Nothobranchius furzeri: one gene and its partner. The protein of the gene in region 1 interacts with the protein of each later gene in a biochemical or structural test. Links are inferred from orthologs where the notes say so. Each region holds a gene or a part of one and is shown in the gene's direction. Other genes may lie near its edges.

Evidence for each region.
Region 2: the proteins of mxd1 (region 1) and protein max form a complex in vitro, tested with the Homo sapiens proteins (4 studies listed by BioGRID, with this or other methods). The link is inferred for Nothobranchius furzeri from reciprocal best matches to the Homo sapiens genes MXD1 and MAX.

Annotation. Positions count from the first base shown.
Region 1 is NC_091757.1:29,115,364-29,120,125, forward strand, and holds the start of mxd1 (max dimerization protein 1), read left to right. Parts: upstream 1-1,721; 5' UTR 1,722-1,837; coding exon 1,838-1,862; intron 1,863-2,261; coding exon 2,262-2,306; intron 2,307-2,982; exon of another isoform or gene 2,983-3,763; coding exon of another isoform or gene 3,764-3,830; intron 3,831-4,233; exon of another isoform or gene 4,234-4,291; intron 4,292-4,395; coding exon 4,396-4,495; intron 4,496-4,762. Other genes in the region: snrnp27 (U4/U6.U5 small nuclear ribonucleoprotein 27 kDa protein), read left to right, coding at 452-567, 678-757, 1,022-1,086, 1,400-1,454. UniProt on the Homo sapiens protein: Component of a transcriptional repressor complex together with MAX. In complex with MAX binds to the core DNA sequence 5'-CAC[GA]TG-3'. Antagonizes MYC transcriptional activity by competing with MYC for MAX binding.
Region 2 is NC_091758.1:33,258,361-33,263,121, reverse strand, and holds the start of protein max, read left to right. Parts: upstream 1-1,733; 5' UTR 1,734-1,877; coding exon 1,878-1,913; intron 1,914-4,364; coding exon 4,365-4,472; intron 4,473-4,761. UniProt on the Homo sapiens protein: Transcription regulator. Forms a sequence-specific DNA-binding protein complex with MYC or MAD which recognizes the core sequence 5'-CAC[GA]TG-3'. The MYC:MAX complex is a transcriptional activator, whereas the MAD:MAX complex is a repressor.

The DNA of each region.
Region 1 (4,762 bases):
AAAGCAACATGCACACATACAAGTGAAACTCAGAGGATTAGAATATGGAGCAAAAGTTTGTTAATCTCACTAATTCAACTTAAAAGGTGAAACTAATCTATGAGACAGTCATTCCATGCAAATCCAGATGTTTCAGCCTTTATTTGTTGATGAAACCCCCCATTCAAAATCTCAGATGATTAGAATATTGTGAAAAGGATCAATGTTCTAGACTCAAGTTGTCGCACTCTGATCAGCTGATGAATCCAGAACAGCAAAAGGTTCCTGAGCCTTTAGATGGTCTCTCAGTCTGAGCTGGATTACTGACATGAATGGACTTTTGCACCAGATTCTCATTTTCCTGTTTTAGCCTGTAGACATGAACCCTTCTATCCTTTCTTAGACAATAATGTTTCCTTCCTCAGTTGTTGTGATCCTTTGTCCTGCAGCCGTCTTTATGCTCTTTGGACAGGTCTCCCCCTAGGCGCCACCGCTCTTCCTCGTCGTCTCCCATGAGACAGAAGGACAGACGTGATGATGAGCGCAAAGAAGTGAAAGACAAGTCTTCAAAGCCCATCCAGATCTCAGGTTTTGTGTTGCTGATTGTTTTCAGAAAGAAATCCTTTGTTCAGTTTGCTGGACATTTATAAACGTCTTTAAACAATGAGTTAAATCAGATATTCTTTCTGTTTTTACAGCAGAGGACATGCAGGGCAAAACGGAGGAGGAAATTGAAATGATGAAGTTAATGGGATTTTCTTCATTTGATTCTTCTAAAGTGAGTGAAAAATGTGTGCATGCAGCCACCAGGTGGCGCTGTGTTCCTGAGTTGTGGCCATTCACCACGACGGCTTCATGCTTGCTGATACTTCGCAGTTTTAAGACTGTTTGACATTCAGAAAACGACACAAGACAGGAAGTGCACCATCAGCCACTGTCTAGTAGCGTTTGCTGATTGATGAACTGTAAATGTAATAGACCACATCAGGATAGCATCTGCAGCATGTATTTCTGTTTGTGATTGAACATTGTTTTCCCACAGGGGAAGAAAACAGATGGATCAGTTAATGCATTTGCCATCAACGTTAGCATGAAGAGAAAGTACAGGTACGTTCACAGAGAAAAATATCAAGTTAGCCTGCAAATACTGAAGTTTAGCGGTGTCATGGAGAATTTTGTGCATAGCACATTAAGCAGAGCGACTTTTAAAATGATTGTTGAAGCAGCTAATTTTTAATAAACAAAGTTTTATCCTGTTGGGAAATTGGCATTACAAGCAGCAACCACTATTAAAGTAGCCAATCACGTCAGCAGGTGTCTCTCTGCAGAGAATCCTGCTCTCCTATTGACTCTTGATGATGTAATCTGCAAGTGTTGAGAGGGAAGTTGTGATGCACTGTTGTTCTAAATGTTTTTACAGGCAGTACATGAACAGAAAGGGAGGATTCAACAGGCCGCTGGATTTCATCGCTTGAAAATGTCACGCTGCATTTCCTCCTTTTTCCAGCAAGGGGAGGACATGGATTACATGCTGTTAAATGTGATGCAGCAGTTCTGTGTATATATTATCACTCAACATGTAGTTGTTCCTTCAGTTATTTAGTTTTTGTTGCTGTGCTTTTTACGTGTTGTTGGAAATAAACTCTTTGAAATTGATGGTGTGCTGATTATGTAGAGCATGTGTTTCTTTTTCTGCCCAGATCTGCACAAACATGTCAATTTGTGTTGATGTATTTGAGGAGTCGTCACTAGTACCAGAGACCAGGGAGCTTCGTCTAATCCAATGTCTCCTCTGGACAGAGATACCTGGGGTCGTTCCTGAGATCGGCTGGAGCCACTAGTCCAGTTGAAAACTCAAATGTGTCAAAAGATCTTCACATATTGTGAGTTTTCTGTAAATGTGAAAGTTTTTGTCAGATTACTGCAGCATCTCACAGTCCCACACATCTATGCAAAAGCGGAGCTTTAAAGATAGATTAAATAAAAGTTTAACTTTATTGAAGTTTCAAACAACAGAAGTGTGTGTTGTAAATGTTCTTGCATTTTTTATTTATTTTTTATTAGGGTTTGGATTTTTGGTGCATAAGAGTACCTGGAAGGTACTTTTCGTTGCACGAGAATGATAAAGGAGTTGTCTCGGTTTCTTTTCTTTTCTTTTTTTCTTTCTTTTTTTTTTTTTTTTTTTTTTTGTTTGTTTTGTTAACATATTTTTCGTCGTTTCACGTTGATTGCATTCAGGAACATTGTGTACTTTTTTTGAATGCGGGTCCGCTTCTTTTCAGTGTGCCGGCGAATGAACCTGGCGGAAGTGATGAGCGGCGACGGAGGTCAGTCAGATTGATTGAGCAGATTATTGCACTGCTAGAAATGTATACATATAAATTCTATTCAGATAGATTCCTGCATAAAACCTACTATGGTGGGCGTGTTGGACTCGTAACACTGCGTAAGCTCCGTCCACCCGGCGCGCTGGTACGTGCGTTGATATTTCAGTCTAGATGTTTTCACAGAGTAACAAGTTAATGTGTGTGTATGTGAGTAATAAAGTTTCTATTAAAAAGTTTGTGAAAGTGCGCTTGCGCGCACATTGCAGGTTGTGATAGGAAAAGTAAAGGGACTATCAAACCAATCGTAGAAGGAAGAAGTGAGGCAAACAACACCACGAGAGCCAATCACAGCCGTACACCACGAAACAGCATGGCAGGGAGGCGTGGCTTCTGTTAAAGGGACGTTGACATTTTCGTGAGCTCGTGGGCATCGGAGCCAATAGCTGACAAGTTTACCTGAAAACAGCCAATCACAGAACGTGAATTCAGTATTGAGAAAAGCCGTCCATTATGGCTCCCTAGTTGTTTACTGTCTAGTCCACAGACATCGGTCTAGTTCACTTAAGAACCAAAATGGCGTGGACGGTTATCAGTTGCAGTGTGGGTCGATCCCTTTGAGTCATTGATGTTTTAGACAGCCAATAAAAGCTGGAGTGGATATAGTCAACATCCAATCATGTGACAGCACACAGCGGCTTTGTGTTACAGTACAGTTGGGAGCTGCTATCCACATAAGCCTCTATTTTGGATGCACTTTGACAAATTTCCGCCGTTCTGTGTCAGTCGTTACATTCAGCTAGACGAGGCACGCGTTTTTAGTGATAACCAGTACATAACCAGCTAGCCAAAAAGTCTGGAACCAAAACGGCTGGATTGCATCGTCAAGATAATCCAGGAATTAGTTCATCTTTTTAAAATATTCCTGATTTCCGGCAAGTGCGTCCAGCCTAACAGCATCTTTTTGTTTTTTGGCTGATGACTTGAACCTAAAGTCGTTTGTAGTCAGTCGCTAACGTTTGCCAACTTTTTGTTGTTATTCCTAAAACTAGTCAGAAAATACTATCGATTTTTTGTTTCGTTTTTATCAACAGCCATCTGTATTTCTTGAAGAGAGATTCGTCTAACCAGTGATACTAAGTCACCCAAATCAAATGGTTTAAAGGTATAATCTTAGCTGTGGGGAAGTGTTAGCGTCTACCGTGGCTAAAAGGCTACCACCAAGCCTTTAAAGCTGTTTTTTTATATAGGAGAAACCAGTTTCGCTTTCCACGTCTTTTATCGGGACCTTTTATTTTAAAAATCGATTGATTGAAATCCTGCAGAAGCAACTCGAAAACAACATTTTAGAACAATAAGTGAGAACAACAGGGAACCCAAGAGTTCAGAAATAGAAGCGTGACTACAGTAACGGAATCCCTCGTTGGATTATTGTAATATTATTAGTGTTATTGTTGAAAATGGCGTCGATCGAAATGGTGCAGATGTTGATCGAAGCAGCAGAGTACCTCGATCGCAGGGAACGAGGTAAAGTATATTTTAATTCTAATTCTATGCTGTTAAAAAACAACACATTCCCACTTCGTTCATGTCTGCCCATTATCACGCTGATCGGGCTCTTTATGCGTCCGGCAAATAGGTTTTATATTCTTAAGTTGCACATCCTGTTCTTAACCCAGGTGTTCATCGTTGACTATGATGATGACAATAAATAGGATTTATAAAATATGAATGGTGCAGTGATTAACGTGCATTGTGCATCTTTTATGAAAGGAGAAATCATGCAAATGCTATTAAAAATATAGGAACACAATGTTTAGTTGCAAGCTCCTCCTTTCCTTCTGTTGTGGTTTGCTGGTAGGGTTTATCGTAGTTCAGGATGACATCATTGTCCAAGCTGTGAGGGTGGGTGGGGGGGCACTGTTTAAAGATACTGCATTATTAAATCCGTTCATTCCATGCATGCATCCCAGCATAACACATTGGATGTAAGATGATGCAGATGGGGATGTGTGCAACATCTCGTGTCTCCCACCCTGGCTATGTTTGCAGATAACAGGACATGTGACCACTGTTGTTTATTTGCTTGCAGAAGCTGAACACGGCTATGCCTCCATGCCACCCTTCATCAGCAGCAGAGAGAGGGAAAGCTTGAAAAGGAAAAGCAAAAGCAAGAAAAACACAAGTAGCAGGTAAAGGCATACTCAGCTTGTTGAATTGAAAACCTGGGGGGGTGCTGCACACAGCCAGGACGCTTGGGTTAAAGGGTTGACTCCTATCACGTTTAAAGAATAACCAAGGCTTTCATCCGATTTCACAGACAGCAGAAGACCCAGTAAATGCTCTATTATTGAGTTGCATTAACACGAGAACTTACAGCTCTGTTTTATCTTAAGTTCAGCTTTTATCGTGTTAAAGCGGCCCAGGCAGTCATCAGGTAAATGCAGTTTATCTTCTGA
Region 2 (4,761 bases), on another chromosome or scaffold:
ACCTAAGTGTCCTCAAGAAGTGCCGTCTGCTGTGTCCCTTCTTGTAAAAAGCTTGGCTGTTCTTTCTCCAGTCCAGTCTGTTGTCCAGGTGAACTCCAAGGTATTTGTATTCCTCAACCACCTCCAGTTCTTCTCCCATGATGGAAACGGTGTTTGACTCCACCCTGTTTCTTCTGAAGTCTAAAATCATCTTCTTTGTTTTGTTCATGTTCAAGGTCAGATGATTGTTTCCACACCATGCCACAGAGCGCTCCACCAGCTCTCTGTACTCAGCTTCCTGTCCATCTCTGATACACCCGACAACTGCAGAGTCATCTGAGTATTTCTGTAGATGACAGGCCTCTGATTTGTACTGGAAGTCGACTGAGGTGTACAGGGAGAAAAGGAATGGTGAGAGTACAGTCCCCTGTGGTGCTCCAATGTTACTGATCGCCTGGTTTGATGTGCAGTTCTTCAGCCTCACAAACTGTGGTCTGTTTGTCAGGTAGTCTTTAATCCAGGCGATAGTTGAGGCCCCCACCTGTGTCTTCTGGAGTTTCTGGCAAAGTACATCAGGCTGGATTGTGTTAAATGCACTAGAGAAATCAAAGAACATGACCCTCACAGTGCTGCCTGCTTTGTCCAGATGACAGTGGGTTGGTTGAAGCAGCTGGATGATGGCATCTTCAACTCCAACTCCATGGTGATAAGCAAACTGCAGCAGGTCCTGATATGTCCTAGTTTGCTTATTCAGGTGTACCAACAGGAGTCTCTCCAGGACCTTCATGATGTGGGATGTCAGGGCAACCGGTCTGTAGTCGTCATTGACTGATGGGCGAGTTTTCTTTGGAACTGGAAAAAAGGGAGGATGTCTTCCACAGGACTGGAACCTTCTCCTGGGCCAGGCTGGGGTTGAAGAGGTGCTGCAGAATCCCACAGAGCTGCTCTGCACAAGCCTTCAGTACACTGGGGCTGACACCATCTAGACCTGCAGCCTTGTTCCTGTTCAGTCTCTCCAGCTGCCTCTTCACCTGACTTCTAGAGATAGATAGGTGGGAGGGGGAGATAAATGGGGCAGCAGCATCTCCTGACTTGGTTGAAGATAGATTTATAGAACCACAAGATTCCATGACTGTGTTAGAGGACAAAAGAGCTGGCGTGTGACAGAAAAATGTTGGATCAGAGGAGGATGGGATGTCTGATTGGCTGGGGACAGGCGAGGAGGATGCTGGGTTTGTTCCTGAACTGAATCTATTGAAGAACTTGTTCAGTTCATTGGCTGTGTCCAGGCTGCCATCTGTGCAATCCTTCCTCTGCTTGAAGACTGTGATCTTCATCCCTGACCAGACATCTCTATTATTGTTCCTCTGTAGTTTGTTCTCCAGCTTCTTCCTGTATGCCTCCTTGCTGTCTCTGATCTTGATCTTCAGTTGCTTCTGTATACTCCTCAATAATTCCCTGTCTCCCTCCTTGAAGGCTCTTTTTTTTTTTCATTTAGCAGATTCTTCAGTTCACTGGTGATACTCCAACATGCAGCCACCCAGAGCAGCGCAGTTCCGGAATGAAATCAATAAAAATGATCAAACATGGAAATAAAATTTTAATAATTTGATATATCTAATAAAATTAATTTCTGTCTTTTTTTTTTTTCAAAATCGCCCCCAAGGGCAGTATTGTTCAAAATACTTCATTTCCCACGATTCCGTGTTTTAAAGCGCACGCGCTGTGTGTGTTTTTCCGTTCCATGTGTAGGCGAGTCACGTGGAGAAAAACGGTTGATTGCATGTCATGTTTCTGCCTTAGCAGGAGCTCTGTGCTACGCTGTGGTCACCTCCAGTTGTCGCTGCACTTTGTTTTGACAGCTGCCTGTTTTCTTTTTAGGTTGTTTTTACTGAAGAATGAGTGAAAACGATGACATCGAAGTCGACAGCGATGTAGGTGTTTCAGTTTCTTCCTTGTTTTAGCTAGTTGGTCTGTTAGCCGACCAGGCTACATAAATATCCCTACCCCCCACTGGTGTGTTTGTGCTAACTTGTTAGCTTCCTGGCTAACTCCTTTTTTAACGTTTGGCCTGCCACTTGTGGAAGTTGTTTAGTTTGATTTTATTTATTTCGGGCTTTTGGTAAATAAATAAAAATCGAGCACATGAGACGAGGCTGTCGAATAAGCTACCCTGTTTCACAGCATTAGAGAAACAGCGACATTAGCTTTCCCCCTCTCCAAACACAACCGTTTGTTTAAATCATTATTTTTTATTACATCTTGGCCGTTTTTAGCACATTTAAAGAGAAGAAAATGTTAAATTCGCTGAAACGCAACTGAAGTGATCGAAACTGAAAACGAGATACTAGACGAACAGCAGAGCTAAGCTGTTGCTGTAAGGAAGGTCAGCTCGGCGAAACATTTAAATATGTTTCCCTTTAAACAAAATGTTTCATGTTTTCCCCCAATCGTGTTTTAAACTCTGCTTTGCGAGCGTTTCATTAAAAAAAACTACATATGAGGTTGATCCATACACGTCACCATACTAACCAGGCCTGTTAAGCACTGGTCACAACCGTTTCTGTAATGCGTGTTTCATTTAAAATCGGACATAAGATTACAATCGCCTGTCTTATTTTCTTGGCTACAACCTCTTTAAACTGGATAGGCATGAAGAACTCGATGTTCTCTTTGACCCATTTGGTATCTCACGTATCATCCGACCTCTCTACACACTGGCTGGCGTCGCTCGATCTCCATTAAAGCTGCACGAATGTAAAATGCATCATGGCTTTAAAAATACATATGTGGAGGATATGAATTGATTTGACCGAGCAGACAGTAGATTCATTTAGACTTTGCAGGACAGAAACGTGCACAAAGCTTTGTCAGAGTGGGAAATTATGCTAAAATCCCATTTTTGCTAGGGGTTGTTCTTTCCCCACATTTGTTTGAGTTGCAGCTTTAGATCCTTATGCAGCTGCCGGAAGCGTGCACTTGTTGACAAGTTGAGCCCTTATTGTTGAAGCAATTTAACAAGTGTACACAATAAATTCATGTTGACAGAGTTGTGTGCTAATGTCTTTTCTAATGCCGCTGGATCATGGGGGCAAATAAATCATAATCACAATTTTTTTTTGGTCAATATTAAACAAACTGTTACTTAACACAATTACTCAATGGTATTTATTGTCAGAGACACCACAAGAAATTAAAACAAGAGCATCACATAATTTCCAGACTGCTACGTTATTCATTATGATCTGTTTTGTGTGCTTCTAATCGAATCAACCGATATGGGTTTTCTGTTGCCGATACCGACATACCACAGCAGATGGCCGATATGTGCTGCCATTTGTTTTACAGATTTTCACTTCTGATGACTAGACGTTTTCTGCCTTATTGCATGCTAAATTAACACTAATTTGAGACTACCTGCTAGCAGTAGCTTAGCTGAGTTTAGCAGAGTTGAAGGAAAGAAGCTGTTTAGGCAGGAAAAGGCATCTGTGTAGCAGTCATACTGACCCAAGGATGTGCCTGTTTTTAAATTGGCTCACTAAAGAGGCAAATTGGGCCAATAGTTACCATTTTTTCTATATCAGCCAATGAAACGGTATTGCAAAAGAACGGTAAAGTCAGCCTGATAAATTGGCTTATCCCTAGTTTCCCTAGAAGTTTTCTGGCCATGTAAAACCTAAAATATTTAGGCTGTTTAGTGGTGAAATAAACAAACATTTCTGAGTGCTTAATAAAACAGAGAAAAGCTGCTGAAGAACCTTGGATGTACAAGCACTGACGGAGGACACAAAAAGTTGTTTTTGTTTCCAAGAATTGTTGATGCTTGGAAATAGAGCCATATGTGGAAATATATCACAAACATATCACAAAACTGCATATTGAGATCGTAATTGAAAATTACTTGAGGCATATTGTTTGATAGGCTTAAAATGTGTGTGTTTATTCTTGTTTTGATTTTTAATTGACCACAACATGCACAAGTTTAGCCATGAGAGGAAGTGTGAGTGAGTGATCTGGCAGGAAAGACCAAATGAAAGCATCCTTGCAAACATTTTTATTGATGATTCATTTGTTGTTGAGTTTTGAATATAAACTGTATTAGTCCTGGTCGTTTTTTAATATTGAATTATTTATAAACAAATAAAGACTCATGAAACACCCATTCATTTCCCTGCATTCACTCCACACACACACCGTCAGCTAGACAACGACCTGTGTGCTGTTTGTTTATTTGAATGCAAATAAGGATTGAGATGATATTGTAAGGCCAGAGTAACGGAGTCCAGCAAATATGAGTACATTTTCATGGGATCTGTTTTGTTTTGATTTTACAAAATGTCTGAATTATAAAATTGTTTACTCTTTTTTTTTTTTTTTTTTTGCAGGCAGACAAACGAGCACATCACAATGCGCTGGAGCGCAAACGGAGGGACCACATCAAGGATAGCTTTCATGGTTTAAGAGATTCTGTGCCTTCATTACAAGGGGAGAAGGTAAGGGGAAGTGAATTCACAGTGTGAAGAAAATAATTATATTATTTGTTAGCAATCTGTAGCTATTTTTCACATTTGATGTGTGATTTCATTTTTTTTTTTTATTATTATTGGGATTGCATGTAGTATCTGAGTAATCCTTTTGTAGACAGAAATCAAAGTTATTTCAGTTTGTAGAATTAGGGAAACATGAGCTCACAGTTGAGAAGTTAAATACTAAAACTCACCCCAGTGAGTGCAGCGACTTACCGGACACTTACCCCAAAATTCCACTACCTCCGCTCCGGCA